7 linked regions of the Neurospora crassa OR74A genome follow. The protein of the gene in region 2 interacts with the protein of the main gene of each other region in a pairwise test. Links are inferred from orthologs where the notes say so. Each region holds a gene or a part of one and is shown on either strand. Other genes may lie near its edges. The genes, in order: NCU02546, NCU03085, NCU06678, NCU02305, NCU08026, NCU11251 and NCU06540.

What was found.
Region 1: the proteins of NCU03085 (region 2) and NCU02546 interact in a two-hybrid assay, tested with the Saccharomyces cerevisiae proteins (2 studies listed by BioGRID). The link is inferred for Neurospora crassa OR74A from reciprocal best matches to the Saccharomyces cerevisiae genes LSM8 and NOG2.
Region 3: the proteins of NCU03085 (region 2) and NCU06678 interact in a two-hybrid assay, tested with the Saccharomyces cerevisiae proteins (2 studies listed by BioGRID). The link is inferred for Neurospora crassa OR74A from reciprocal best matches to the Saccharomyces cerevisiae genes LSM8 and XRN1.
Region 4: the proteins of NCU03085 (region 2) and NCU02305 interact in a two-hybrid assay, tested with the Saccharomyces cerevisiae proteins (2 studies listed by BioGRID). The link is inferred for Neurospora crassa OR74A from reciprocal best matches to the Saccharomyces cerevisiae genes LSM8 and COQ1.
Region 5: the proteins of NCU03085 (region 2) and NCU08026 interact in a two-hybrid assay, tested with the Saccharomyces cerevisiae proteins (3 studies listed by BioGRID). The link is inferred for Neurospora crassa OR74A from reciprocal best matches to the Saccharomyces cerevisiae genes LSM8 and MTR3.
Region 6: the proteins of NCU03085 (region 2) and NCU11251 interact in binary tests that used the Saccharomyces cerevisiae proteins (3 or more experiments, as listed by UniProt). The link is inferred for Neurospora crassa OR74A from reciprocal best matches to the Saccharomyces cerevisiae genes LSM8 and PRP4.
Region 7: the proteins of NCU03085 (region 2) and NCU06540 interact in a two-hybrid assay, tested with the Saccharomyces cerevisiae proteins (2 studies listed by BioGRID). The link is inferred for Neurospora crassa OR74A from reciprocal best matches to the Saccharomyces cerevisiae genes LSM8 and PAT1.

Annotation. Positions count from the first base shown.
Region 1 is NC_026501.1:2,685,352-2,689,285, reverse strand, and holds the start of NCU02546 (nucleolar GTP-binding protein 2), read right to left. Parts: upstream 2,801-3,934; 5' UTR 2,469-2,800; coding exon 2,159-2,468; intron 2,098-2,158; coding exon 1,732-2,097; intron 1,677-1,731; coding exon 1,513-1,676; intron 1,132-1,512; coding exon 112-1,131; 3' UTR 1-111. Other genes in the region: NCU02545 (hypothetical protein), read left to right, coding at 3,164-3,934. UniProt on the Saccharomyces cerevisiae protein: GTPase that associates with pre-60S ribosomal subunits in the nucleolus and is required for their nuclear export and maturation.
Region 2 is NC_026501.1:4,492,938-4,496,609, forward strand, and holds NCU03085 (small nuclear ribonucleoprotein Lsm8), read right to left. Parts: upstream 2,266-3,672; 5' UTR 1,786-2,265; coding exon 1,752-1,785; intron 1,595-1,751; coding exon 1,518-1,594; intron 1,412-1,517; coding exon 1,220-1,411; 3' UTR 738-1,219; downstream 1-737. Other genes in the region: NCU03084 (inosine-uridine preferring nucleoside hydrolase, variant), read left to right, coding at 1-737; NCU03086 (HpcH/HpaI aldolase/citrate lyase family protein), read left to right, coding at 3,188-3,371, 3,434-3,526, 3,584-3,609, 3,662-3,672. UniProt on the Saccharomyces cerevisiae protein: Component of the nuclear LSM2-LSM8 complex, which is involved in spliceosome assembly. The LSM2-LSM8 complex plays a role in the biogenesis of the spliceosomal U4/U6-U5 tri-snRNP complex by accelerating PRP24-mediated annealing of U4/U6 di-snRNA.
Region 3 is NC_026505.1:4,232,173-4,236,376, forward strand, and holds the start of NCU06678 (exonuclease Kem1), read right to left. Parts: upstream 2,801-4,204; 5' UTR 2,236-2,800; coding exon 2,231-2,235; intron 2,146-2,230; coding exon 2,052-2,145; intron 1,984-2,051; coding exon 1,677-1,983; intron 1,618-1,676; coding exon 1-1,617. UniProt on the Saccharomyces cerevisiae protein: Multifunctional protein that exhibits several independent functions at different levels of the cellular processes. 5'-3' exonuclease component of the nonsense-mediated mRNA decay (NMD) which is a highly conserved mRNA degradation pathway, an RNA surveillance system whose role is to identify and rid cells of mRNA with premature termination codons and thus prevents accumulation of potentially harmful truncated proteins.
Region 4 is NC_026507.1:2,992,345-2,996,406, reverse strand, and holds NCU02305 (decaprenyl-diphosphate synthase subunit 1), read left to right. Parts: upstream 1-1,262; 5' UTR 1,263-1,739; coding exon 1,740-2,927; intron 2,928-3,008; coding exon 3,009-3,170; 3' UTR 3,171-3,658; downstream 3,659-4,062. Other genes in the region: NCU02304 (hypothetical protein), read right to left, coding at 1-544, 607-858; NCU02306 (hypothetical protein), read right to left, coding at 3,659-3,728, 3,956-4,062. UniProt on the Saccharomyces cerevisiae protein: Assembly of polyisoprenoid side chains.
Region 5 is NC_026504.1:3,956,973-3,960,592, forward strand, and holds NCU08026 (3' exoribonuclease), read left to right. Parts: upstream 1-1,175; 5' UTR 1,176-1,368; coding exon 1,369-1,501; intron 1,502-1,560; coding exon 1,561-2,288; 3' UTR 2,289-2,360; intron 2,361-2,422; 3' UTR 2,423-3,120; downstream 3,121-3,620.
Region 6 is NC_026501.1:4,871,908-4,875,838, forward strand, and holds NCU11251 (pre-mRNA splicing factor), read right to left. Parts: upstream 2,578-3,931; 5' UTR 2,421-2,577; coding exon 2,376-2,420; intron 2,312-2,375; exon of another isoform or gene 2,288-2,311; coding exon 2,254-2,287; intron 2,199-2,253; coding exon 697-2,198; 3' UTR 501-696; downstream 1-500. UniProt on the Saccharomyces cerevisiae protein: Involved in RNA splicing. Is required for the association of U4/U6 snRNP with U5 snRNP in an early step of spliceosome assembly.
Region 7 is NC_026504.1:1,578,099-1,582,191, forward strand, and holds the start of NCU06540 (topisomerase II associated protein), read right to left. Parts: upstream 2,801-4,093; 5' UTR 2,444-2,800; intron 2,012-2,443; 5' UTR 1,965-2,011; coding exon 1-1,964. UniProt on the Saccharomyces cerevisiae protein: Activator of decapping that functions as a general and active mechanism of translational repression and required for P-body formation. First decay factor recruited to mRNA, at a time when the mRNA is still associated with translation factors.

The sequences.
Region 1 (3,934 bases), about 1.8 Mb from region 2:
TATCAGTGACACCGGCCGTCATGATCCGATTGGATCGTTACCAACCCTGAGGTCGGCTATTGAACGCATGCTCGGTTCACCCCAGCCGCCCATCGCGTTCACTGACCGAGTTTACTTCCTGCTCCTCCTTTGCTTCTTCGGGGGAGGTGCTGGCGCAGCCTCGGCTTCTGACTCAGACTCTTCGAGTTCGCTGGCTCCTTCGATGTCGAGGTCGGATCCTTCCTCGTCATCTTCGACGTCAGAGCCCTCCTCCTCGCCATCCTCTTCCTCATCGCTCGACGCGTCCAGGGGTATCATATCTTCAGCAGTGCTCTTCTCCTCACCCTTCTCCTCAGCAGCCTCTTCGACCTCAGAGTCGCTGTCACTGTCGAACCCGGCAAAGTTCTCAGGGTCTTCCTCCTTGGCATCCTCTCCTGCTGAAGCGGGAGTGGTAGCAGGCGCGCTGTCGTCCTCGTCACGTTTCCGCTTCTTGGACATTTCACCGTAGCGTCCTTCGCGACCCTCCATGGTATCAGTCTCACCCTCCTCCTTTTCGGGGGCAGGCGTGAACCAAGGAATCTTGCCTCGCATGAAGTCATTGAGAACCATCTTCGCAACGCCATCAACGTCAGGCTCACCACCCTTGAGAAGTCTGCCGCCCTTCCTAGCAAGCATCTCAAGGAAATGAATATGGTCCTTCCAGCCCTTGAGCTCATATGTCCTCTCCATGTGGTGAGGTTTGACCTTGTTCAATACCGCAGGGATGTATTGCTCCGGGTTATCGACGTTTTCCACACGTACAACACCACGGAGCAGGAGATCCTGTGGCGTATCGTTCTGGTTGGGAGGAACAATGCCAGGGCAGTCGATGAGGTAGATCCTCCTCATCAAGGTGACGTACTGCCAGACCTTGGTCTCTCCGGGAATAGGGGCGACCTTAGCAACGGGCTTCCCACGAAGGGCATTGATGATACTCGACTTGCCGACGTTGGGGTAGCCAACAAGACCGACGCTGATCTGTTTCCTGTCCTTGTGCAGGATACTGAACTGTCTGAGAAGATCGATCAAAGAACCACGACCGAAGGGGTTCTTGATGCTAGATCTCATAGCACATGTAGGATGATCCTTCTGCAGAACGCGAATCCACGCGGCCTATTGTTTTCAGTTAGTCCTCAACTCGTTACTGAATATAACATATATGTATAATGTGAAGAAATGTGTGAATCATAACTAAGAAGACCACCATGGTAGAGTCTGCTCAAAGGCAGGGTGGAATTCAACTCAAACGAAACACGTCCGGTATCCCGTGAAGTCCTCCAAAACGGAGTCCATCAAATCCCCAATCCCAAGACGGGACCAGAGAGGTTGGGAGGTGGATATTAATCTCCCAGCGATGTAACAGACCAATCCCAATGAAGCGCAACTGAATGCGGGAAAGATCCTGACAAAATCCCTGGGAACCTCAGGATTTGCGCGAGGCAAGTCAAGAGATTCAAGCAGAAGGAGTGAAAGCAAATAATGGTCTACACTTACAGCAGTCTTGGAAGGAACAAGATCGATCTTGTTCAGCACGAAAATAAGATGCTTGTGAGGAGCCTCAGTGGCAAGGTATTTCTCAACGTGACGACACCTGGTTCCCAGAGGATCTCTGGCATCGATAACGTGCAGGATGACATCTGACGAATCAATGACCTTGTCTATGTGATGGTTAGCAACCCGAAGTCACAAGTCCCCAAACACAGAAGGACTTACACAGTTCGTTCCAAATACGCTTCGACTGGCCCTTTGTGAAGATAGCCTCCTTGGCCGTCGCGACACTGAAATCCTCCTCTTGAACATCGTCATCGGCAAGACCACCGCCATATCCAGAAGCACCACTTAGAAGCTTGATCTCCTCGAGTCTGGCCTGGTATGTATCCATGCTCTTCTCGCTGTGTTCTGTCAAGTCACCGATCGTGTTGAAGCTGAGTTTTGGCCTCTTCCTTTGGGCCTTGGGGCCAAAGGTCTGTGAAAACGGCTCGCTCTCAATCGTCATCTTGGCTTGGTGCTTCTTCAACGCATCCTTGGGTCCATCTCTGATCAAGCTCATGGGGAGCTTGTTGCTTTTCAACAGCACCGCTACAAGACAAGGTGCGTTAGTCTTGGTCGGCCGGACAAGTGACGGAAGAGTTGAACGTACAGTAAGGATCCTTGTCCTTCTCGGCAATCGCCTCCCGGAAAGATGTCAACGTATCTTGCGAAATGACTCTGGTGTTGTTGAACCATCTCCGGTTCGGCTCGATGACGGCTGTGGGAACATCTCTGCTCTGATACGACGCGGCCTTGACGACCTTGCCCTCCTTGTTGCGAATGGCCTTTCCCTCCTTCAGCACGTTCAAGGCCTTGATCTTCTTTGCGCTCCGGTAGAAGTTCTCGCCCTTGACCTTTGGATCACCCGTCACCTTGCCCTGTCGCTGAATGCGAGACTTTTCCTTCTTTCCTGTTCCCATTTTGGCAGATATCACTCAATGCCAGATTACCGAGTAGGTTGGTGGGTAGAGGATGCAGATGTGGAAGAATTTCGTTCTCGCCTGCGAGAGCGGCTGGGGGTATCCGTAGATCGGGGGGTTTGAGATTGACTTGAAAGAAGAAGCACACGAAAATAGGGAAGAATGGGTAAAAGGCTAGAAACGAGGCTATGGGGTATCAGATATCGGCAGAGGGTGTTGCGTGAGAATCGAGAGGATGAATGGACTGGGGAAGAAGAAAAGAAGAGAGGGAAGCGAGGAAGGAATGAGAAGGAGGAAATGCAACTCTGCGACTGGTCCCGGCGAAAGTTTTGTCAGTTTTTTTTTTGGGCGGGGTGTGGAGGCCGCGCAAAGGTCCCCATGCACAAAAAGTTTAGCGGTGTACGACGGCAGAACGCCCGCGACCAGCAAAGCTAGTAGCACCAAGAGCACTCTAGCGCCGTTCTGGCCTCCCCGAGCTTTCAGAATTTCGACGGAGTTGAAAGCCCCCTCGTACCGCGGCGTGTCCCACGATCCCGAGCCGAACCTACCTACCTAGGAGAGCGAGAGGCCGCTGCACCCGCCTGGTCCGTTCCCTCCGTCGCACGAAACCTCCGCATAGCACGGCCCGGCCAGAAGTCTCCCAACTCCGACCCCATCCCGCTCACCCCGTCTTCAGCCAACCCTCCACCTCAAAAATGGCGCCAACTCTTGCCAGGCCGTCGCTCAGCGGCGTGCAATTTATCCTTTCTTCCCCGACCACAACATGCGCTGCCACCAGCGTAGTAACACGCGCCATCGCCGCCCGATCTTTCAGCACCACCCGATCGGCTAGAGACTCGGTCTCCATCCCCCCCGATTCGCCCAACTACATCAAGGTCCCCGAGCCGCCGCAGTCTTCCGAGGTTAGGCACCCTTTCGTCAAGGGCCACCTCCCGATCCCCCGCTCCATTTTCCCAAAGAAGGGCGTCCCGGAGAAGGTCCAATCCGGCTATGTCAATCGTATCGCTCCCAAGTCCGCCGCCGAGCTGGCTGGTCTGCCGCCCAAGTCGAAACAAGAGTCGTGGCGTCGCAAGATGGCCGAGGCCCGGCGCCAGTCACTCGAGGCCGGTCTGCAGGGACTCTGGCAGCGCAAGGTGAAGCGCGACCAGAAGCAGGCGAAGGAGAGCAAGGCGCGCTACTTGGCGAACAAGCGGGCGGCCCAGGCGCCGGAGCGTCTGGACGAGGTGTTCACGCGCGCGACGATTCGCGAGAGCACGGCCAAGAACACATTCGTACCCCTGGACCCAGAGGCTTTCGTCAAGGCCGAGGAGGCGCGTATTAAACATGCAGAGAAGGAGGCGATGAAGAGCGAGGCGCGCCGGGACGCCGTCGTCCAGCTGTACGTGGCGTCCAAGAACTTCATCGTGGACGAGAAGGAGCTGGAGGAGCACGTCAACAAACACTTCACCGAGAAGATCCACAACGCC
Region 2 (3,672 bases):
CCTTCCTGCGCGCCAAGGAGCTGGTTGTCATGGGTGGTGCCGTAAACGTCGAGGGCAACGTGACCCCCGTCGCCGAGTTCAACTGCTTCGCCGATACCGTTGCCGCCGCCCGCGTCTACGCCCTGACCTCGCCCAACCCGAGCTCGACCATGCCCCCTGTCATCCACGGCAAATCTTTTTTGCCCCCTTACCCCGCCAAGCTTTCCAAGCAGCTTAAGCTGACCCTTTTCCCTCTTGATATCACCACCCCGCTCGAGCTGAGGAAAAAGTACTTCTACGAGACCATCCAGCCGATCACCAAGTCCGGCAGCCCGCTTGCGCTGTGGATCGAGACCTTCATGACAGGCATCTTCAACAAAGTCGAAGCCATGCTTGGCGACGGCAGTGAGCCCGGTCTGTCCCTCCATGACCCGGCATGCATTTGGTACATGTTGACCCAGGATGACCCCGCATGGGAACCCGTGGCGAAGCCGGAAGATATTAGAATTGAGACCTCCGGCCAATGGACCAGGGGCATGCATGTCATCGACAGACGACAGAGGGCGAAGCCGGGTGAGCAGTCAAGCAAGGTGGAGACGCATCCGTCGGATCCTCTGGATGCGACCACCTTTGACGATGTCCCCGGAGACGACATGGGCTGGCTAAGCGTGAACAAGGGAAACAGAATTAACAGGATGGTCAAGACCCCCGGCGACGAGAAGTTTGCCGCCATCTTGATGGATAGACTCTTTGGTTGAACCTGCCGGCAGCACTTGTTGATTTTCTTCTTCTTTTGTATATAGAAAGCGAATCTATTCCACGCGGAGTTTTTGAGATCTGGGGTATCTGAAATCAATATTCGCTGGGTTCCTTAAACCGAGAGCTGGACCTGCCCGTGACACCTTGTTTTATTTTTTCTTCGTCGGTCAGCATAAGTCTTAACGGGGAAGTAAGAGGGGAAGAAAGATCGTCGATTGGGCATACCAATGTAGTAAAAGAAAACCTGTAGCTCCGCGTGTCAAATGCTAATGATGCAACCAAATCTTGTGTGCCACGCACATTATCCACCGGTGTTGTCCTTTATGTCAACTGCCCGCGACCGCCACACCGTTCGACTTTTGTCTTTTTTCCCCTTGGTTTCCTTCTCCTGCCTCCTCTTCTTGGTTTTGAGGGAGCGTGACACCATGCTTCACGCGCTCAGGTATAGCGCAGAAACGGTTCAATGGTTCGGTGGTATATTCTAGTGCTTTGTCGTCCCAATCGTAGCCCCCTTGACTTTGGTCCAGTCTATGCTCTCGTCCAGCGGCTCATCAACCAACCCAACCAGGCAGACCGTGTCCCCGCGAATCATGTGCGTTCCCAGCTCGATCTCGGCCGAGGGCTCGTCATCATCGGGGGAGCGAATGACTCGTTCAACTGCTCTTTGTAGGAACTAGTTTGTTGGAGGGTTAGTTGTCGTTCGCGATATGCTTTGTTTTGTTTATCAGGTGGCAGAGGAACTGTATCGAAGTATGGATTGGGAGGGAGCATATACTGACCACATTCGTGCTCATGTCTACCGAGATCAGTGTGCCTACTAAGGTGCGGCCATCGACTGTAATTATGCAAACCTTTTCTAAAGTAACGAAAGATGGATCTGTTAGCTTTCTGGTCTTGCGAATATCCTTTAACTTTGGGATGCCGTGACCAATTGATCTTGTGACCGAAGCAATGGAGGAAAGAGGAAGAGGGGTCGAAAAAGCCGAAGGGCTCAGGTAGAAGGGTAGACCAACTGTTGAGGTACGAATTTACCAAGCCCGCCGACATGGTGACGGATGAGTAGATGCTATTACTGTAGTCTTTGTGTGTTTTCTCGTACCGGCAATGCGCGGGCCCAAGACCGCGGTGATAAGCAAAGTATCACGTAAAGCCCACGGTCTAACTTGAAGAGTATTGATTCAAGCGAAACACGTGGTTGCAGACAGAAAGTCGTCGGTTCAACTCGAGGGCAATTTGTTCGCTTCGTGTGATCTTGGTAAGCCCGGCCGGATGGGGTCGTTTGGTCGTTCGTCGCTTCGAATGGGGCAATTGGTTCGTGGTTATTGATGTTTTCGTTTCTCGTTGACCGATCGCGAAAGAGGAATACAACCTGGTCGGCGCGCCGCGTCAAAGAAGAATAGTGGGTACGTAATGCTGGCGGGGAGGGATGTGGTTAAATCGTGGGGATGGGACAAGAACGTCGCCGTTGAAGCTGGAGCTTCTCTTGTTCTTCCGTAGAATCGCCAAGCCCAGATCACTGACGACGGCTCACGGCAGACAACGTACCAGCACTGTGGTGAAGGCTGGAGCTTCTGAAGCGGATCCATTCTCCACTCAATTGCCTGCCGCAAAAGCGACGCTCACCCATCAGCTTGCCCCTTTTCATTCGGGAGGGTTGCTTTGTTTACTTTTATCCGCTTTGGGGTGTCAATGCAGCCCTCAACTGTTTTCGGTTGCTGCTTGAATAATTGCCTTCATCATCGTATGGTCTACCATCAGAAATGCAGAGCTTTCTCCTCCTGGAGCTTCTCGTCGCTGACTTGCGGCAGTCTCAAAGAGCCCTATGAAATTCTGTGGAAGCTTATACGTATAGCAGGGCCAAGATGCGGATGTCAACGTCCACCATGGCTTGAAGGACTTCCATGAGACCATTCAAGCCCATTGAACCTGCCGTTCCCGTGACTCGGAAAGTTTGAACATGTCAATAATCCGAATACCGGCAGAGGTTGTGGTGTCTCCAGTCAGAACAGCCTAGGTAGAACCGAATGCGGAGGGAGATACAGACGCGAACCCCGCAGTAGGAGCCCCGCCCTACTGTGTATCTCTTGGACGAAGGCAGGGGACGAACATCTCCCGAAGGTGTACCAAATTGGCCAGCAATTGAACTTGTTCACCCAACGCAGCCAGTACATTTCCTCGCCATCTGCCGTCAGGTTATTACAGTTGACCTCGAGTATGTGGCGGCGGGACCTTGGTTCGGAGCTGCACATCAACTTTGAAATCATAGTGTGTACTGTGTGTTATCGGATTTGCTTTAAAAGAGTTCGGGTTGACTTAGTCCGAGCTTCCACCTGCATCCCCACTGACTTGGCATGCCTTTCCTCCCCTTCGTACGTTAAAACTCCTGAAGCATCATATCTCTTCACTGAACAAAGTCGTTCACGTCACTCCGCTTCACCAACTCCGTACAATGTCTTCCGGTAACCCAACTTCCAAGATGCTGGCGGCCAATTCGTTGAAGCAAATCTTCACCCAGGAAAGCCGCCCTGCTATGGGTGTCTGGCAGATGCTACCCGGGGCCAATATCTCGAGGATTCTCGCTCGATCGGGGGCTGACTGGGTAATGGTTGACTGCGAGCATGGAAACATCGACGGTAGGTAACCCGTAATACGGTGGTGAATGATGGGGCTTGTTGAGCTGAATGATATTGGTCAGATGCTGCGATGCACGAAGCAGTTCCGGCCATTGCTGCCCTGGGCGTTTCTCCTATTGTCCGGATCCCAGACCTTCAGCCATCGATGGTCAAGCGTGAGTGCCATTCGTATTGCCTTATCACTCAGACGGTTACTGATGTACCCTTTACAGGAGCGTTGGATAGTGGTGCGCATGGAGTGAGTGTATAAGAGTATCCTGTGTTGGAGACATTTTTCTGACGTGCTCCAGATCCTTGCGCC
Region 3 (4,204 bases), on a different chromosome or scaffold from region 2:
ACTTGAGTGCGACGCCAAAATCGTTCCTCGACTTCTCAACGTCCGAGAGAAGTTCGTTCTTGGGGCCCATTGCTGCAAGCAGCCGCTTCTCGTCAATGAAGGGAATCTTGACAACGGCTTCCCAATCCATCTTCTTGCCATTCATGTCAAGCTCAAAGTCTCTTGGGTAGAAGTCGATGATGGGAGAATTGGGGTTTGTCATAAGATCCCAATATGCTGTCGGCACGATCTTTTTGCTGCGGTCTGGCAAGACACCCATCAGCTGCTCGTATGGCTTGAACGGCTGACCCATCTTGAAATTAAGGTCGGCTTTCAGGCCTTTCATGACATCGGAAATCAGGGGAGCGTAGTGGTAGCGATAGAACCAGGGCCAAGAAGCAATACCACGGTAGTAGTAGTAGAGCACCCATTGAAGACCCTGGACGTAATTCTCCGTCAACTTGCGGAGTTCGTCCTCCTTGTTCTCTGGGGTCCAATCCTCAAACTTCTCGGCATAGTACTTGTCTTTCCACTCTTGGAACTTTTGCTGGTATTTAACCTCCATGGCAGCCTTCGAGTCGGCCGCAGTTAAATCCAGGACTTGGGCGTTGTCGTACTTCTTGATGATACGGAGAACGGCTGACTGGGCTTCCTCGTCCTCTTCCGACTCGTCGTCTCTCTCGGGGAAGGACAGGATTAGGTGGCGGTGTCCCTCGTCATCTTCCTTAGTTGCCCAAGGAATGTGAGCAGTATCAGCCAAGTCTTGGACAAACTTGCGGTCCTCGGCCTTCAACTCGGTACCGAGGTCAAGCGTATTAGTGCTCCTATTCATAAGGAATTTCCTGATCTTCTGCTTCCAGAGATTCTTCTGGTTCGTGGTGACGATGAGCTTGCCCTTGGTCTTTGCCTTTGCTGTCTCTGCCTCGTTATCTTCAAGCATCTTCTTGGCCCGAAGCCAGCTTTGATCCTCATGTTCATGTTCGAAAAAGCGATACTCCTCCTTGCCGAGTTCTTCCAGAAGCAGGCCGAGTCTCTGGAGGTTGACCTTACCGCCCTCGTTGATATATCCGTCGCCGCGCGGAAGAATTTCTTTGTAGATCCTAAACATGAGCGAAAGAGCGCCTTCATTGATGTGAAGCCGCGGAAGGTTGGGAAGGAAGTCGTTTCCGACAAAGAATGCCATAAGAATGAAGTCGTCAATAACTTTTTCCATATCGAATGGAAAAGACATGGCTCCAGGTTTCTTGAGATCCTGGAACTCCAGCTCCAGGTACTCGCGGACTATGCAGAGATGCATCAAATAGAAGTTTTGCTCCTCCAGTCCCTTTGCCTTATGCTTAGACGGGCCGCGGCCAAAGGTAACTTCCTCGCGCAGAAGGCAGAAGTGAGGGTCATGGCTGAGGAGGCCAAGCATGATCAGATCGGCGTCGAGGCCATACAAACAGTGACGGACGTTCGCGTCATAGTCGAGTTGAGCGCGCGCATTGCGGATGTACTCCATGATCTTGTGCTCACCCTCACCAGGGACCTCGTGTCCAGACAAGACAATCTCGGGCTGTTGCCAGTCCCTGTCTTCCGAGACCTTTTTATGGATGAAATATCTCAGCTGTTGCGAGAGCTTGGCCATGAATTCGGTTCCTATGCAGCTAGTTAGCCTCCGGGGAAAACATTCAAGCGGGCACCAGCGCCAGACATACCAGGTGTGATGCAGTTACTGTCGAAAGGTTCTTCTTTGGGCAATTCCTTGCCCTCACGAATCGCCTTATCTCTAGCCTTCTCATTGTCCAGCGCGGTACGAAAACGACGAGCACGCTGTTGGTTCATCTTTGCGCGAGGGGCAACGCCATCTATAGCCATAAAGAAAAGCTTTTTGGGCTTGATTTTCCCGAAGAGATGTTCGATGTAGTTGAATATAGCAATGAACATCTCCTCCTCTGTCATGCGAAATTGTACATCGCTCGTGTCCTTATGGGTACAGTTGTGGATGATACCGTTCATGTCCAACTGAGCAAACCGGTTAGCTAGGCAAGTAACGCAAGACAGCCATCAGGCCTCGGGAGGGAGCAGCGAACATAAAGGCAGTCGAACTCGGGGATACGGTTCTCGGCGATGAGCTGAGAAATGGCGGGATACCGCTCCGAGAGCCATCTGAAGAACTTGGGAACACTGGACAAGAGGGGGTATTAGCCACACGCCTGAACAACGCGCGCGTATACGGCGAGGGAGGAGCTTTGATGTGGGAGTCATATACCCCATGTTGACTAAGTGGCCTGTGGTGCCGGACTAGATGTGTACACTACTAGAAGTTTGCGAAGGAGGTCTGAAATTGGGGCGCGCTGAGCGGTCGCAGGAGATGTCGCAGACGGGGAGTCTACTTAGTTACTGCTGTCAGGGGGCGAAGGAGAGGCGTCAAGCTGGTCGTTCAAATGCCGGCACTGAATAATAATGGCCGGGTTTCTAGATAGCGAAGCCTCCAGGGATCGCAATGGTGCAATAAACCGAGGGGGGACGAAGCAGCAAGGTCCAAGACTGAAGATGCTGTCTATGGAAGGGAAGAAGAGGAGTGTCCTTGGAGCAACCGACAGCGCCAATCGGGAAAAGAAGCTACTATAGTGCTAAGAAAAGCGGAAAGGTTGAGAATCCGAGGAGTGGCCTAGGACGTTGGCGGCCTATGTTCGAGATAGACGGAGGTAAAGGAAGAAGTGGGTGATGTCTACGAGATGGAACCGCAAGAGAAACAAAAGTGGAAGGTCCGTCAGAGGTGTGGATGGGACGGAGAAGGTGTCGGGTCCTGGGCTCCGGGCTGGCTAGGTGTTCAGGCTGTGACACACTGCAGTTTCTAGTTGGCCTCCGTTGCCCCACGCGGGTTGACTGTGTGCCTGGGGGCGGCGTGAGCGTCGGTCGTAGAGGTAGAGGTACCTCTAGAGCTAGGTACTAGCGCTCGGCCCGGCCAGGCCAGGCCAGTAGTGAGCGCTCCGCCACCTCATCAGGCTCCCGGCTGTCACTGTCAGCTCTCTCCCCGCACCAGCTACTACTGAACCTCAAGGTAACGAACCTCAAGCGAGCCTCCGCCCTCGACGAGCGGAACGGAACTGCCCTGGAGGGAATGGGGGGTCTGACAAAAGTGGGCGTAGCAGGCCTTTATAGTATAAAACGCTTGAGCAGGGGTTGTGGGCTACAACATCCTTACACAATATTGTTTCTTACTGTAATCTACTAGATAATTGAATATTGTTGTATTGAAGTTGGTTTTATTTTACAATACGTAGTTTTAATTAATAGTACAACGACTATTAACGCGGTATTGTATACAAAACGGAATTAACCGTTCAACAGCGCACAAAAGTACGACAACAGCGAACTGTACCACAACAATACGACCCGAACTACAAAATATACAACATAATAAATATACTCACTTAAATTGCTAATTGCAAGCTAATATTCTTATTAATATAATAATTGTTTAATTATATTTATTTATTCAACAATTAATATCTATTCTAAGTAACAAAAGCCTTACAATTATTTCACAGCAATTTTCAATCAATATTACACTTATATTGATAGAGGTAGGTAGTAGGGGAGAAAGCGCTATATTAAATTACTTATCTAAGCTACCTAAGTGGCGGGTATTCTTTATAGAAGTAATTCCTATTATTCCCTTTCTAATAATTGTAAATTAAAACTCTAACCTAGGTATATAAGAAAATTAGAGTACGGGTACCGTATAGGTAGCCAATAAGAATATTCACCTCAGGCTACCCCAAATACGCCTCCTTTAGGACTATTTCGATATAATAGTATAAAATATATATTCCTTAATATAAATATAACAATAAGAAAGTATAACGAAAAAAAAATAAAAAACTTTAATTCCGGCTCTAAATAAAGACAACACATGAAACTAGTTGTAAATAATAACCTAAGGATAATAATATAAAAAAAGAAAAAAAAAAAAAAGAAAAAAAAAATAACCTAAGGAAGATCGAGGGGTACTATAGCCCAATACGCATATAATTACAAGCTTTACTTATACTAACCATTAGCAACGAACATCCTCTGGAACTATTCCTCCCTAGAGAGATAAAACTTATCGAGGTATTCTATTGGGAATTCGAACCCAGGCGAAGGCATTCTATACTAGCCACAACTATCTTTTAAAGTCCAATTTCTAACCTCTTTAATATTCTTCATCGGGTTTAAGGAAGTATTAACAAAATAT
Region 4 (4,062 bases), on a different chromosome or scaffold from region 2:
ACTTTTTGCGTCTTCTTAGATTTGTGTCCTCGGCCGCAGACTCCTTATTATTGATGGCAATCAGCTTGTCTGCTGCCTCTTTGTCTTCTGGTCCAACAACCCACGTCTGCACCACTTCCTTGACCTCCTTGAAAGTCTTGTCCTTCTTCTTCGCCTGGCCGAGATGCCACACGTATCCCGAGTACAGAGCTACTTCAGCAACACCTGCGATGATACTGCCTCCCATGGTGAGGAAAATTCTAGCCGGAGTGCTCCACCAACGCGCCAAGATCCAAAGAGTAGCTGCCACGCCTAGAATGGTGACCATGAAGTTGAAGATGAGCATTAGTTGGCGGTGCACCTCGTCATACGTCACATCATCGTCGCCCATGTCTTCCTTCCGTGTAGGTCTGTTGGCTTCGGCGAATGCCCGAGCCATGCCCGTGCTTGAAGGGAATCGTTGCGAGAAGGTCTCCATGGGTGGAACGGGGTTGATCATGCGTTCATAGACGCGTTCCTCTTCTTCACGGCGAAGTCTGGCCATCAATTCTTTGTATTCATCGGACTGTTTTGGGGATTAGCTATGCCTCCCCAGCTAGTGCAGTGAGGTGAGTAATGTCCACTTACCGGCTCAGGCTTCGGCGGTGGTGGAGGCACATAAACCCTGGAACCTCTCAACAATACCTCCAGGCTGTACTCTTTATGGTGACCGGCGGCTTTGAGTAGATTTCGCAAATCCATGATTTGACCATGTGAGATGGGTGAACCAATGTCGACATCGGTTAATGACGGCTCGCCATCTCGCTGTAGTTTACTTGGGCCATCTGGAACTCTTTGTAGAGCTTCCAAGATGGAAGAGGTCACTGTGAGGAGGACCATGATAGCGTAGTATGATTTGGGTGCGTAAAGTGTGTGATATTTATGCTTGTTCTGATGTCATGGAATGATGAAACGTCGCGAGGGAGCTGTTCCTGGTGTTGTCACTCGATGAGATAAATGCAGTGGAGTCATCAGGTGCACCCAACCCCGAAAACCCCGTTTCTCCAAATTCAGGTCCCTGTACCTGGAGCTCTCACACAGCTTGGATCGATTCAAGTCGAGCTTGTCTGAAAAGAGCAAGATCCGCACCACCAGCCTCAGATCACTCACAAGTCCCCCGAGCTTCAGCCACGTGAAAGCCACAAGAAATGGGACAAATGCCCGCAATGCCAAGCTTTTGGACCTGCAGAGAGGGGCTTATCTGCTGCAGTGAGAATGGAAGGTGACGGATGATCCGAGCGCCAAATTTTTGGAGGATGGAACTTTTCGGGATCGGATGAAGAGGAGCAGTCGCCGTTGTCACGGTACAGTTGTATATTGTAAAGGTCAAGTAAGCCGCGCCCACCAGAGGGAAGACTGCTTACATACCCACCACCGTCCACCGACCGCCGACCACCACACCCACCTCTTCGCCATCCGGATGGTTGGACTGAGCCTCCTCCGAATTCCATAGTGCCACCACACGACCACAGAAAAAAAGTCCATCTACTGCTCAACCCGTGACCCGTCACACCCGGCGACAAGCAAAGCGAGAGCTGTTTTTTTTATTTACTTTCACAACCGACTTCCTGCCACCACCCGATCGGTCCTCAACAACCCCACGACAGTCGCATCCCAGCTCCGAATACACCCTTACATGCAAGAGACACTTGCCAGCTAAACAGTCAACAGTCAATTGGTCCTTCTCGGCAAGAAGGACGTGCGCGGGAAACACGGGAAACATGCAGCTCCGGACGGGAGCGGCTTCGGTGGTTCGGACGGGTCTTGGTCTTACACAGTCGAGATGTGCCGTACAAAGCCTTACAGCAGTGCCCCTCGAGCGGAGGATACGGCAGTCCAAGGCCTTCTACCACAACACCAAGAAGAACGACTCGGCATGGGCTGCTGCTGTCTCGGTGGCCGGCAACATTGTCAACAATGCCGTGACCAAGGCCATCAAGGGCACCGACGGTCTGCCCACCATTGACCCTCTCCGTCTTGTCGCCGGCGAGATGAAGTTCCTAACAGGCAACATCCGCAAGCTCCTGGGCTCTGGCCACCCCTCGCTCGACCGCGCCGCCAAGTACTACACACAGGCCGAGGGCAAGCATGTGCGCCCATTAATCGTCCTTCTCATGTCTCGCGCCACCGCTTTGTGCCCCAAGGCTCCTCAAAGGCAACAATCGACTCTCCAGGCCTCGGCCGCCATTGATACCTCGATCTCGCCTCTCAACATCCTCTCCGACTTCAACCCTTCTGACGCCACTCCCGTCTCCATTCCCGCAGATACCGACATCCTCCCTTCCCAGCGACGACTTGCCGAGATCACCGAGCTGATCCATACCGCCTCGCTTCTTCACGACGATGTCATCGATCACTCCGAGTCCCGCCGCGGCGCTCCCTCCGCCAACCTCGAATTCGGAAACAAGATGGCCGTCCTGGCTGGTGACTTCCTTCTTGGCAGAGCCTCCGTCGCCCTTGCCCGCCTCCGCCACGCCGAAGTCGTCGAGCTTCTTGCTACCGTCATTGCCAACCTTGTCGAGGGCGAGTTCATGCAGCTCAAGAACACGGCTCGCGACGAAAAGAACCCCAAATGGTCCGAGGAGACTCTCACCTACTACCTCCAAAAGACCTACCTCAAGACCGCTTCCCTGATCAGCAAGAGCTGTCGCGCGTCTGCGCTGCTGGGCGGCGCTGATGCGGCGACGGTGGATGCTGCCTACTTGTATGGCAAGAACCTCGGCTTGGCCTTCCAGCTGGTCGACGACATGCTGGACTACACTCGCAGTGAGAAAGAGTTGGGCAAGCCTGCCGGTGCTGATCTTGAGCTGGGCCTGGCGACTGCCCCTCTACTGTTTGCCTGGAAGACGATGCCGGAGCTTGGTCCGTTGGTTGGCAGGAAATTTGAGAAGGAGGGTGATGCTGCTAGGGTATGTTTCTCCTGCTCTGCTAGCTGTTCGATCTCTCTCTCACACACACACTCACACAAATGCTAACATCGTTATGAACAGGCAAGAGAGTTGGTTCTCCAGAGTAACGGCATCGAGCAGACCCGTGCTCTCGCCCAGGATTACGCCGAAAAGGCCATCGAGGCCATCAGCGGGTTCCCAGACAGTGAAGCCAAGGATGGCCTAATAGAAATGGCCGTCAAGACGCTAAAGCGCAACAAGTAAAGCACCACCAAAAAGCAAACAAGAAAAGGGCGACTAACGGCGGTTATTGTGACACCTCCTGAACGATAAAAAAAAATCAGATGGAGAAATGCATACATATGCTACTATGTAGTAGCCCCTGGGTAGAGTGGCACAAGAGTCGAGATCAAGCATAGAGTAGAGGTAGGTAGCCACATAGGTATGTTTGGCTATGGATGTACAGCAACAAAATATGTGGCTACGGGTGTACAAGCACAGGGGGAAAAAAAGGGAAAACGGGAAAGACAAAAAGGGGCCGGCATGACTACCATAGCTAAAGCAGAAGGCTTTTTTTTTGTGGACGTGGATGTGGTTTTGGGCGGACGACACATACGCGGCATACATACATGTACTATCATCATCATCATCTTCTATGATTTTATAAGGGCGCATTTGCGGGAGCAATGGGAAAGATGAATGGGATTGTTGTAAGAAGGAACCTTTGATTCAGCTCAATACCATGCGGGTTTTCAAGGCATCTTGACTATCGGGTCTGCCGCGTGAACTTTGAAACGGGTCGTATTCCAGTTGGGGATTGATCTGCAACAGTTGATTTTATGGTTATCACCTTGGGTGATGTACATTAGGCTAACCATTCCCTCCTTCCATATCCTCCTCCATTACCCACGTTCGATTCGAACCTCATCTTCTTTCTCTCTTCTACCTAGAGGTATCCTGCCCACTAGGTACAACTTTTTTTTTCTCCTTTCTTTTTTTTCAAACAGCTGCAAACTTTCTTTAACCCCCGATAACGCCTTGACCACTACTTCCCCTCTGAGGTGTGGCTGTCGGAATTCTCGATATCTGCGCCGGCGCCGATGTGAGGAGGTGTGGAGGGAGGAGTATTGTACGGCTGGATAACGGGAGTCATCGT
Region 5 (3,620 bases), on a different chromosome or scaffold from region 2:
CAGGAGACTCGGACAACGGAAGCCAAATGACACCCCGAAGGGAGACACCACAACTAGTCCTCACGCCCCGAAAGACGCTCCAGTGCGGATGGATGGCTCGGCCCGTACATATCGTTGAATGGATAGACTGTTGTCATCATTGTGCATGGGACAAAGGAAAAAAAAAAAAGGCAAAGTACCTACCAGATGGGCATGTCGACTCTCCCACTAGACGCAAGATCGTTTTCAGATCCTATATAACTTGAAGTTTGTTAGCCAACTTGCTCGCAGCATGTGTGGTGAGGGCTGTCGTTGCAAGAAAGAGTTGGGGTGATTGCCATATCAGAAGGTTTTGGTATAATTGGTTATCGCTCATTATTATTCAGAAGCAGAACTGAAAATATTTTGTTTCATCATGGACAATCGGGTGGGTGATGATGTCAGGTGGGGGAAAGAAAACAGAAAGGAAAACAATGTGATGCTTACCTAGTGGGTAGAGACTGAGAAAACGGAGTGGAACAGCAACGGTGACAATAACAACTTTGTCTGTACTATTGATTGTCAGTCAACGGTTCCTCCAAATGAGTTGCAAGTGAAGGATGTGTTGAAGGAGTAGTCAGATGGTAGTGCATGTTTGTTCGATCGCTCAGAGATTATCGCGAGAACTGTGGTTATGGGATCATCATGAGATGTGAAAGGCAAGGGGAAATAAACTTACTCTATCCGTGCGAACCAACGTCGGCCATGTCAGACAGCCAGGACATGCTCTCTAGCAATGGGGTTCGCCATCGCAGAATAACCAAGAGCATGCCTGGACAGTTGACATGACCATGCCATTGCTGCGCCAGCGCAGAAGGCTGCCCAACCAAAGCGACCATGAGCACGGTAAGACCATGGTATCATGGCTGCTCCCCAAAGACAGTGGCCATATCAAATGAAGGCATTGATCCAATGCCGACAATCGCAAGCCGTTCCTGCCGTTGCGAACGGTGTGGGTTGGTGGAAGAGTTCAAGATGAGGTTGGAACTGAAGGCGGCAGAGTTTTGTAGCTGCGCAAAAAATTCCTCCATCGGTGGCTTTGACATGGAATTCTGGGTGGGGCATGTGGCTGACTGATCAAAATCGACAGTGAATGTGAGGTTGCGCCACAACTACTTGAATTTGAGAGTGGACCCACTGCAGTGTAGACGGCGACTCTCACGTCTTGTTTTCAACAGTCAACAGAGGTACCAACAGAAGTTACCAACCGTGAAACAAGGAAAGCCATACACAGACGAGGTCTCTTCCTCTTCACCTATCTCAGGATTCTTCGACCAGAGAAGGGCATCGGAAACAACACAGCAATCACCAAGCCCACCATATCTCCGGCCCTCGTATCTTGGCTTCAAAATGGCCGACAGAAGACGTATTAACGGACCGGTTGGGACTACCAACCCTCCCATCTATGACGATGCACCCGAGAAGCAATCCGAAGGTTTCAAGGTCACAAGGTCACGCCCGGCGAACGTAATTCGCAAAATGTGTAAGCACGTCGAGGACAAACCCTCCTGTTTCGCAGACACAGACTAACCTCACGTTTAGATCTCAAGACGGGAGTGACACCGTCGGCCTCTGGCTCTGCTTACCTAGAGATCGAGTCGTCTGGAAACGGCGGCTCTGGCTTGAAGCTCAGTTGCAGCGTTCATGGACCTAGAGCTTTGCCCAGGTCAACACCTTTTTCTCCTCACATCATCTTGTCCACCCATGTCAAGTTTGCACCCTTTGCGACCAAGCAAAGGCGTGGTTACATTCGTGACCCGATCGAGAGAGATCTCGGCACTCACCTTGAGACGGCTCTTCGGGGATCTATCATTGCTGACCGTTGGCCAAAGAGTGGAGTGGATATCATCATCTCCATTGTTGAAGGAGAGCAAGATCGGGAGACCTCCAAGGCCCAGGGTATTGAGGCCTGGGACACCATGAATGCCTTGAGTGGCTGCATCACCGTTGCCTCGGCTGCACTTGCTGACGCTGGCATTGACTGCGTCGACACTGTGGCCGGAGGTGTTGCTGCGTTGGTACAGGACGCAGGTAATGACGCTGCTCCCAGCATAGTTGTCGACCCGATTCCTTCTGAGCATGAGAAGGTTCTTGCAGCGTGCTGCATCGCATATCTTCCCACACGACAAGAGGTCACCAACCTCTGGTTCAAGGGTGACCTACCTGCGTCCGATATGGACGTTTATACGCAGCTGATTGAAAAGGGCATTCAGGCTTCCAAGAGCGCCAACCGCGTGCTCGTGGACTGCCTGAACGAGACCGTTGGGTGATCATGAGGTCGGCGCGGCAATGTATTATTTGTTTTAGCTATGCGCGAATGGGAAATACTCGTATTGAAACCTGTAAGTCCATCAACGGGAAAAACGCATGGAATTCTATGGTCTGACGGTTCATGGTCTTTGAGTACCTCTACGATTTTGGTCGATTTATCGACCCGAAGACCAGCTTCTGATGCAATAGGTCGAGCTACCAGCCACTTGGTCTTTCGCAATAGCCCATATGTAGGGCAGAAGTAACGGAAGATGCCAATCGATAGCAGCGACAACAGAACTGCGTTCCGAGGTTCGGCGGCTGACTGCAAGAATGGAATGGTCAACTTCCGGCGGGAATAGTTTCGAGATGCCTGTCAAGGTCTGACAGGTTGAGCGAGCGCTCTTTTGCTGAAACTCAGCTGGAAGATCGCAGTGTGATGGACGAATGACGTCCAAGAAGCGTTGTGGCTGGTATGCAGAGCTACCCTCTGAGGTTGACTGCCGAAACATTATGAACCGCGGGGTATGAGAAGCTTCCACGTTCTTCGCCTCAATGATCGTCTGTTTCTGAAATTGGAAACATGATGTGGGGAGATTACGCGTATCGTTTCGTTCATAGCAGCACGGCATGTTCGAAGCAGGGCAGACATGGCCAAAGGTGGTGGCTGATCATGAACCGAGGTTTCACTATTACTGCGTAGGGCATACATACACTACACCTGAACTACTTTCTTTTCGTGTCCGGCACGATCTAATCACTTTATCTGAAGGGGACTGTGGTGAATAGCTCGTATCTTTATCAACATTTCGAGGTGGAGGTAACATAACATGATCAACTACATAATCTGCACAAAGATCGAGTAACGTTGCGTTATTACCGGCGTTCTGGTCCGTAACTTTCAGCATTACGAACGCCACCAAGGAAACCCAATGGAACTGAAGTCACTGCATCCGAAGGCGGACGTGGTACCACCACTCACATATTGGCACAGTGCCGGCCGCGTTCAGCGACGGGGCGCCCCCCGGCGTGGCGTGGTCCCGGGCCCCTCTTTCCCCTGAACTTCTCCTTATCTGCCCCCCCACGGTCCCTCCAAAAAACTACAGACATTTCCCAGTTCGGCCCACATTGTCCACTCAGGCGGGAATTGTAAAACGACCTGACAATCCAATCTTTCCCGTCATCCTCCAAAATCTCACCTCACCCAGCTTTCGGGCGAGTTTTCTCTCGCTTCGCACCTGGTCATTTCACTTTTCCCAAAACCACCCCTACTCTCGTTTCTTCCGACGGTCCCGGCTGCCTACCTACCTACCTACCTACCTACCTACCACACTGTACACTTTTAATTATTC
Region 6 (3,931 bases), about 380 kb from region 2:
TTCCCAAATAAGCGAATCCTCCCCGTGTCGCCCTTCAGACAGCTTTGAGCGGGTTGATGCGCATGGGGACTTGAGCTGCCCGGATGCTGTGAGTTGAGGGTATTGTGAATGACGTCTCTCGCGATAAATACCGGCTGGGGATAAAACCACTTGAAAATGCAGAAATGCGAGAAACGAAGAAGTCAAAGGTTCGAAAACGGACCAACGCTACAAGTTCCCGGTGATGGCGTCTGCTGCCATTGTTTTATCGCCCTTTATCAGAAAGCCAAGCTTCGCACGATGGACCGTGCGTCACCATTTCCCAGGGTGCCAGGGTGACTTTACCAACGCCAACCAACGCGAGCGGCAGGTGTCCCGCCCAACCCTGCCCGCGTCACTGCAGAAAAGAAGGGAGAAGGAATCTCAACAGGCCCACTTTCGCGGTCAGGTGACACCCCTTATCCTTACCGGGTCAGTGAAACGCAACCACAAGGCAACTCAGACGCATGTACCAAAGGCAGCTTGTTATGGGCACCCAGTTGTGGTTGTTGATCTACAAATTGAGACGGCTTCTATGCAATCTATCTGCCGATACTGTCTCTCGTGGAGCGGTAAGCCAAGCCCTGGCCTGTCGCTTGCTGAACGCCCTCCTTGGTGTGTTGCTCCTATGCGAGAGGCAACGACAAGATTCTTGTCGCGCACATGATTGATGTCTGCTCAGGAATCATACAAGCTCCTGGAGTCGTTTCTTCCCCAAAGTTTGACCGTCCGGTCATGGCCACCGCTTACAATCCATTTTCCATCCCGGCTAACGTCAACACTCGCAACAGGCCCTGTGTGGCCGCTGAGAGACTGAACCAAGGCCCAGTCGTCAGCGGAAAATATGTTCACCTTGTGGTCAAAGCCTGCCGACACCATAAAGGTGCCGGATTTTTTGGGAATTTGCATTCCCTTTTCATCTTCGCCAGGAGGCACTCCTTCCAACGGGTCATCCAACCCCTTGAACCACCGCACGTCGGCCACTGCACTTGTATGGGCACCAATGCCTCCAATTCTTTCCACTTTTCTAACGTCCCAGCATTTGATCCAACCATCAGCAGACGCCGTGAGCACCCTGTAACCGTCCGAGCCCCAGTCCAAACCATAAATAGGCTTGATATGGCCGTCCTGATGCCCATCTAGAATCATGGCAGTCCGTCCTGTCCGCAGATCCCAGATTCTTCCGATACTGTCCAAACCCGCGCTAGCGAGTAGCGATCCGTCACTGTTATAACTGACAGCGTATACACCGCGAGAGTGACCTTCCTGGAGAAGGAGCTCGGTGCCGGTTTCAACATCCCACATCCTCCATGACGTGTCTTCTGAGGCAGAAGCCAGATACTTGCCCGATGGATGGAACTCTACACGACATACTCGTTGCGAGTGTCCTGAGAGAGTTCTCAAAGGCGTGTCTTGGTTCAAAGACCAGAGATGAATCTGGCCTTCCGCTCCTCCGGAAGCGAGATTGACTGTGTCGGGAGAAACATTGCGCTCCGGCAGTGTAGCTCCAGGCATCCAGCATAGGCCGCTGACTTTGTTGGTGTGGCCCCTCAAAGTCTTCCTTGGCTCAAGGGTTGGGATTTCGATGAGTTTGACCTGTCCGCCCCAATTGCCAGTTGCGACCATGTTTCCATCAGGCGAGATCCTTGTCATGCTGATGTGCCGCTCTCCTGCCGTTTGACTGCCTTGCAATTCAAACCCTTGAAGCTTCTCCTTGATCTCTTTTCGGTGTTTGACATGTGTCCGCAGTGGGATGGTGGACTCCTTCTTCTGGAACTCGATGCGCTTCTTAGCTCTCGGGATTGAGTAGTGAGCGATGTCGATGCGGGCCTGGAGCAGTTCCGGGCTTCCAGTAGTGTAAAATTCCTCCTCTTGGTCGCCGGCTTCATCTTCCTCGTTTTCGGCGTCCCGCATCTCCACATCGGCACTTTCCTGACCTCCCTTTTCGGCTTGTTGTGTCATGAGTTCTCGTAATCTGTCGCGTCTGTCTGCCGGACCCTCGCCGAAGAGGGTGACAGGCTCGCCCATCTCTCGCAATTTGGCTCGTACCCGGCCATCGTCGGTAGGAACAGCAATCGAAGCCGCTAATCGTTTTCGTTCAAACTGCGATAGAAGAACGGAGGCCTTCTCTGGGGCAATACCAGCCCCAGCACCGGGGATGTCGTAGTCGCGATCGAGGGCTAACACGCAAATCAGTCATGGGTTGGAAGCCATACAAGAGTTTTGGGGACTTACGGACGGAGTCTAGATCCATGCCTCCGCGATCCTGCTTCAGGGGGGGTCAGTCCGGGCTCTGTTTGCAATGTTGAGCAGGTGCCTTCAATGATGCGAGGGGCGCATATAGAGCATGGTCTTACCTCAGGCTCGGCCTCCTCCACGTAGGCTCTACGCGCCGGATGCATAGTGCTAAACTTTCGGTGTTTGTTCGTTTGCTAAATCTTCTGGACACTTGAACGCGAGTAAAGCCAGGTGATTCGAGTCCGGCTTGTGGTTGCTAAAGGACCGTTTGATGTGAGGGCTCGATGTTTTGCTTGCTGTCGTGAAATAGCAGGTGATGCAATCACAGGGAAGTTTACAATGCTGGCGCCGTTGCTGTTGCGGGAGCTCCACTAAAATTTCCGGCGCATCTTCGACCCTAACCCTCAACAAGCTGTCCCACCTGAATGCGCTCATCTCGGTCCTAGCACCACGGGCACCTCGTCTTAAGGTGAACCAACGAATCGCCATGAAGCTTTCACCGATCATTCAAAGAGGTACTTGAAATTTCAAAGTTTCATGTGATATGTGATAGATTCCTTGTTGGTGTCAACATTCGTTAATACCCACTTCGCACACGGTAGGTTTGGTCCGAGGTGACATGGAAGCGCGATCACAAACGGTGCGGCCAGTTCCCCCTTCCCAGCCCGTCGATCAATGCGGTTTAATGACCGCCAATCGAGCCCCGGCTGTTCGGATTCCCCAGACTTGTCAAAACTGAAGATCGGGGTCGGCATCCAGCGGCCTTGGTACACTACACTACCTATACACACATGACACCTGCCGTGTGGTATTGGAGGTTCATTTCTGGACATGGAGAGCAACATGGGGCTTTTTTCAGGTTGAAAGCTAGTGTGGAAAAAGCCTGGAAAATGGCCGATGGTGCATTCCCTTTAATGCGGGTGAGACGTATGTCTGATGTCTCTCACCCGATTTTCACGTGCTCTCGCCAATTCCTCCTGGGACATGGAACGCCCGCCAATTCCTCCTTTTCCTTTAAGTTCACCAGACCAATCCAGCTGGTCTTTCCGCCCTTTCAGTTGCTCGCCTGCCCGGCCTGCCCGGCCTGCCCAGACCGTGACGCATGATGTGAACGCTTTTCTCTTTATCGTGGTTGGCTCAATGGCGGGATATTTGGGTGAGGCGGACGCGGCCCCCTGCCCGGCTAGTGCATTCCAGTCCCTAGGGGTACTAAATTGTGCATAGGTAATACCCAAGGTCACAAACCCGGTCCAGGCCCATCCTAATTCACTGCAGGTGCAGAGTCCGGGCTCCATTTTATTTTAACTTCTGCTGCCCACGGAACTCCATTTCATTGTTGCCATTGTCGACCTCTCTCTTCGCACGCTCCCCCAGTCACAACTCTCTTCTTTTTTCTCTTTTCTGTTTTTTTTCTCTTTCTCTCTCTCCTTCTTGACAGTAAAAACCACATCTCATCGAGCCTTTCCACCCTCAATGCATATCGAGAAGACCGTCGACGACAATTCCACTTCCTTCTTCAAGTACCAGATGCGTGCGATTCCAAGCCATCAAGGACCCAGTTTGACCACCGAACACCGCGCAGACGCTCAGCGACGCAGAGGCGAGCCTTGAATACGAAGGCCGACAGAGGCTTTGAGGGATCGTATCTGTCAAGCTATAACGAGAGCTATCTGGT
Region 7 (4,093 bases), on a different chromosome or scaffold from region 2:
GCGGCGTTGAACTGGATGTCATCAGTTGTAACCTGAGCTTCTCGGACAACGTCGAGTTGGTCGAGATTCACGACAATGCGTGTGAAAATGGTAATTCTTTGCTCGTGGTTCGTGTGACGGAAGATGCGCGGTATGGCTTTCTTGCCCTTACTGTAACTGAGAAGGGCCATGAAGGGGTGGATGCGGCCTGGCTGGTCGTGATCCTGCACCCTCAGAGCCTTCCAAAGCTGCTCATTCAACGCCTGTCCCTCGTTACTCCATGCAAAGACCTTGGCAAGAGCTTCTTGATCGTCCTCGGCAGGCGCCATAGGCATGTTGCGTTCGTGGTCTTCCATCTTCATAAGTGTAGTGTATACCAGCTCGAGGGCCCTCAGTTCGTCCTTCTTGTCCCGGCCATTAACAGGATGCGGTGCCTTCTTCACATCGCTGGCGCTGTCGTTACGCTTGATGTTGAGAAGCGGCTTCGGGGTCTTGGCGTTGCTGAAGGAAATCTTGCCCAAGCTACCTTCAATAACAAGCTGCTTATTCTTGGGCTTGTTCTTGGCCGCCTCAACAGCACGCTGGACCTGTTGTTCCATCCTCTGCATATGGTTTTCAGGACCCCTGTTATGGCGGCGCATACCTCCTTGACGGCTTCCTGTCTGAAACAGATAAGTCTGAGCGAACTGGTTCAGAGGCTGGCTGGGGTGCTGGCGATGGCCAGCCTGGATCTGACTATGGACTTGATAGTAAAAGTCCTCGGCGAGTGACTCGTCTGTGCCGTGTTCATTGGGATTTCCAGTGGCTGCGACAAGCTGCTGAAGCTGGATCCGGGTGATGAAATTCTTGTCCTGTGGCGTCATGATACCATTGTCGCGAGACATTTGGAAGATCTTGTGGTTGCGCTTGGCGCGCTTAGCTTCCTGTTCAAGATACGCAGCCTTTTCCTCCTCCGAGAGCTGAGCCAGCTGGGCAGGATGAAGAATCATAGGGGGCTGTCGCGGAAGAGAGCCTTGTTGCCTGTGGCCCTGGTGAGCGGACTGAGGACCGGACGGAGGCGTAGGGTGAACAGGCAGCCCGATCTTAGCCGCGTCGCCTGAAAGACGGTTGGGGTTCTGCAGGATCTGAGTAGGCTGCTGAGGAACAGCGGGTTGCTGATGCTGTTGAATAGCGGGCGGTTGGGAAGAGGGCTGGGCTGGCGTAGGAGGCTTCGAGTGAGGCCGCTGAAGAATTGTCATGGGATGTCCCTGCGGTTGATGGTACAGAGGTTCAACGACACCGGCTTGGAAGTGAGCCTGCGGCTGGTTCTGAGCTTGGTGCTGGTAGAGGTAAGCCTGTTCATGTGGAATTTGATGGGGCTGATGCTGAGGAGCGGGAGATGGGGTGGCCGCCTTAGCCTGGGCGCGCATCTGAGCCTCAACCTCCTCAAGACTCAGCATCTTGCGGCCCCCAGACGGCGCGCTAGGGACGGCAGGTTGAGCAGGCGGCGGCGGTTGCTTCTTGGGTGCGACACCCCAGAGAGCAGCGTCAACCTGAAGATCCTCGATCGGCTGCTCGTGGTATTTTTCGTAGCCGGTCCTGGCAGGTCTAACTGGAGCCTGCGCGAAATAGTTGTACGAGGGTCCGGCGATGGGCGTATAGGCCGATGGCTGCGCGACAGGCTGGGGAGCCTTGGCAGCTGGTTGTTGGCGGTTGAAACGAACATTTTCCTCTTCAATGACGTTCGCGACCTTGGCGGTGTGGCCAAAGAAGTCAAAGTCTTTGCCTACAGGACCCGGCTCGCCAGTATCGCCGCCAAAAGTATCATCATTGAAGGCATCGTCGGTCTCATCCAGCTGGTCACCCAAGCCGTCATAAGTGTCCTCGAAGTCGATCTCTTCGGCTTCCTCGTCCCGGTTGGCTAGGCTGGCAAAGGGATCGTGAGCCTGGGAGAAGCCGGGAGCGGCGGTATTATGGCGAGACTGGTCGAAGTTGAAGAAAGACATATTGGCGATGCCTGTTGGGTTTATGGAAAATTTCTACAGAGGTATCACTATTGTAGGGTCAGTATACGTTGAGCGAAGAAAGATCGTTGCGGCGCAAATCCGGGTGCGATGTTGAGCTTTGGCTGATTGGCAAGGGCACAGAGGAAAATGAGGGGCAAAGCAAAAGACGAGACCCTGGTTGGTGAGTGGGACGAGAAGTATAAAGAAGGAACAGCCGTGACGCAGGTTCACGAAGTTCTGGGTGGAAGGGGAAACAGGAAGGGCTTGAAGGTCCAGTGGTCAAACAGCCCGAGCCAAGCAGAGGGGCGACTCGATGGATGTTCCACCTAGCTGGGGGTGGTGAGCTGTCTCTTGAAGCGCGGGGCAACAACAACGACATGGAAGATGGAGAATTGGGACATGGGAGCCCAACTTTCATCCCATGACCTTGCCATACCGAGGTTGCAAGCACGCTGTAGAGAAATCAAAGAACAACGTACAGAACGATATGTAAAGATGTTGGTATGATCGGTTTGGTCAAGCACCATGATGCTGCGATGCGCGACGTGAAGGGAAAGGAGACGTGTCGACGGCGGTGCGACTCGTGCAAAGGAGCGGAGCAGAGCTTGTCAGGGCGGCAACAAATACTCAGCGCTCGGCTTGGAAATATTAAAACAGAGAAGCAAAGAAGGCTGTGAACTAACGACCGGAAGCGCAACTGGGTGCGCCGCGGTGAAGATGTGGATGCGGTTGCTCGGAGTGGTAGCTTGATGGCAGCGCAAAAGGCGACAAGAGACCGACGCAGATGGATGAAGTCAGGCCAACTCCAACTCAGAAGCCAGATCAGGGAGCTGTGGACCAATCGCCCCCGAGGGCCAATGGAGCCTGGCAACAGGTGGGCGGGCGGCGGTAGGCCTGACGCTTTGACACACCACCCTCCTGTCTTGCCGTTCGTTGACTGACGATGGGACTTCCAAGGCCGCGGCCGGGGGAGTGATTGCCACGGTTGGGCGGCAACCAGAGGCCCATTGCCTGCCGGGCTGTGGGATCCTCAACCGCCGGCAAGAATGTCCATTCCATCCTTCCAGTCTTGCAAGTTGTTTTATCCGATGAGCCAATCGGCGATACCCGCCCGCTAGTTGTGATGCGTAACAGTGATCAACTGGAGGCTACAACATGAGACCCGGACGGGACGGCAACCTCATGGTCAACATTTAACGCCAAGCCGACAACCAAATTTCAAGCTCGAGATATCGATTTTGGCAAGAAAGCTGAAGGGCAAGGACAGTAGCTCAGGCATCCATTTTGCTGCCGTGACATCCGTGACTAAACGCAGCTGTTTAGACTGTGCTTCTAAGTATGTGAATTCGCCATTCCGATGCAGGTGAAGCGGAAGCGCGGACATGGACAGAGGCAAACATGGCATGGCTATCTTAAGGCTGTTTTCTTGACAGGTGACTTTACTGTACATAGTATGCAGTCGAACTTGAATTATATCAGGGGCCTGGTATTTCCCTGTTGTTTCTTTTGAGAGGGAGGTATCATGGCCATCACTCAAGTCGGTGTTCTTCGCCATCTTGAAGAACTACTCCGATCGGAGGAGCAATGCGGAGGGAGCAGGCCGGCAGCAGATCATATTAACCCAAGTATCATAGTATGAGCTAATCAGCCACTTCTCAGCGTGGTAAAAGGATCAAGAAGCTCAAGACATACCCCTCCGTTGACGGATGCGACATGTGAACTGAAGTCGTCGTAGAGGTAGGTAGTGCCCCTGGAAGTTGACGACGCCCGTCTCAAGGGGGTTTTTGTCCCTTACTAACAGGGCCACGCTAGAACCGTCACGGCCCGCAATAATGGGGTACCTGCGGATACAGGTGACGACGAAGCTGTGGGGGCACCGAGGGCACCCTAATGTCTTTCCCTGCCGCCTACCCCCGCGGCCAATCTTTTGGTCCTGGCCGGACGGAAACATTGAGGTGCTCAGGGGAATGCACCGCAAGCGACCATCAGGAACGGGGAATGCGATAGCTTCTGGTAGGTATGTAGATATTATTTAGGCCACTTGCGGACGTTGCTGAGGATGTTGTAGGTAGATACCGACACTTTTGGGATGTTTTCATTACAGGCTAGTTCGCACCTAACTACCTCTA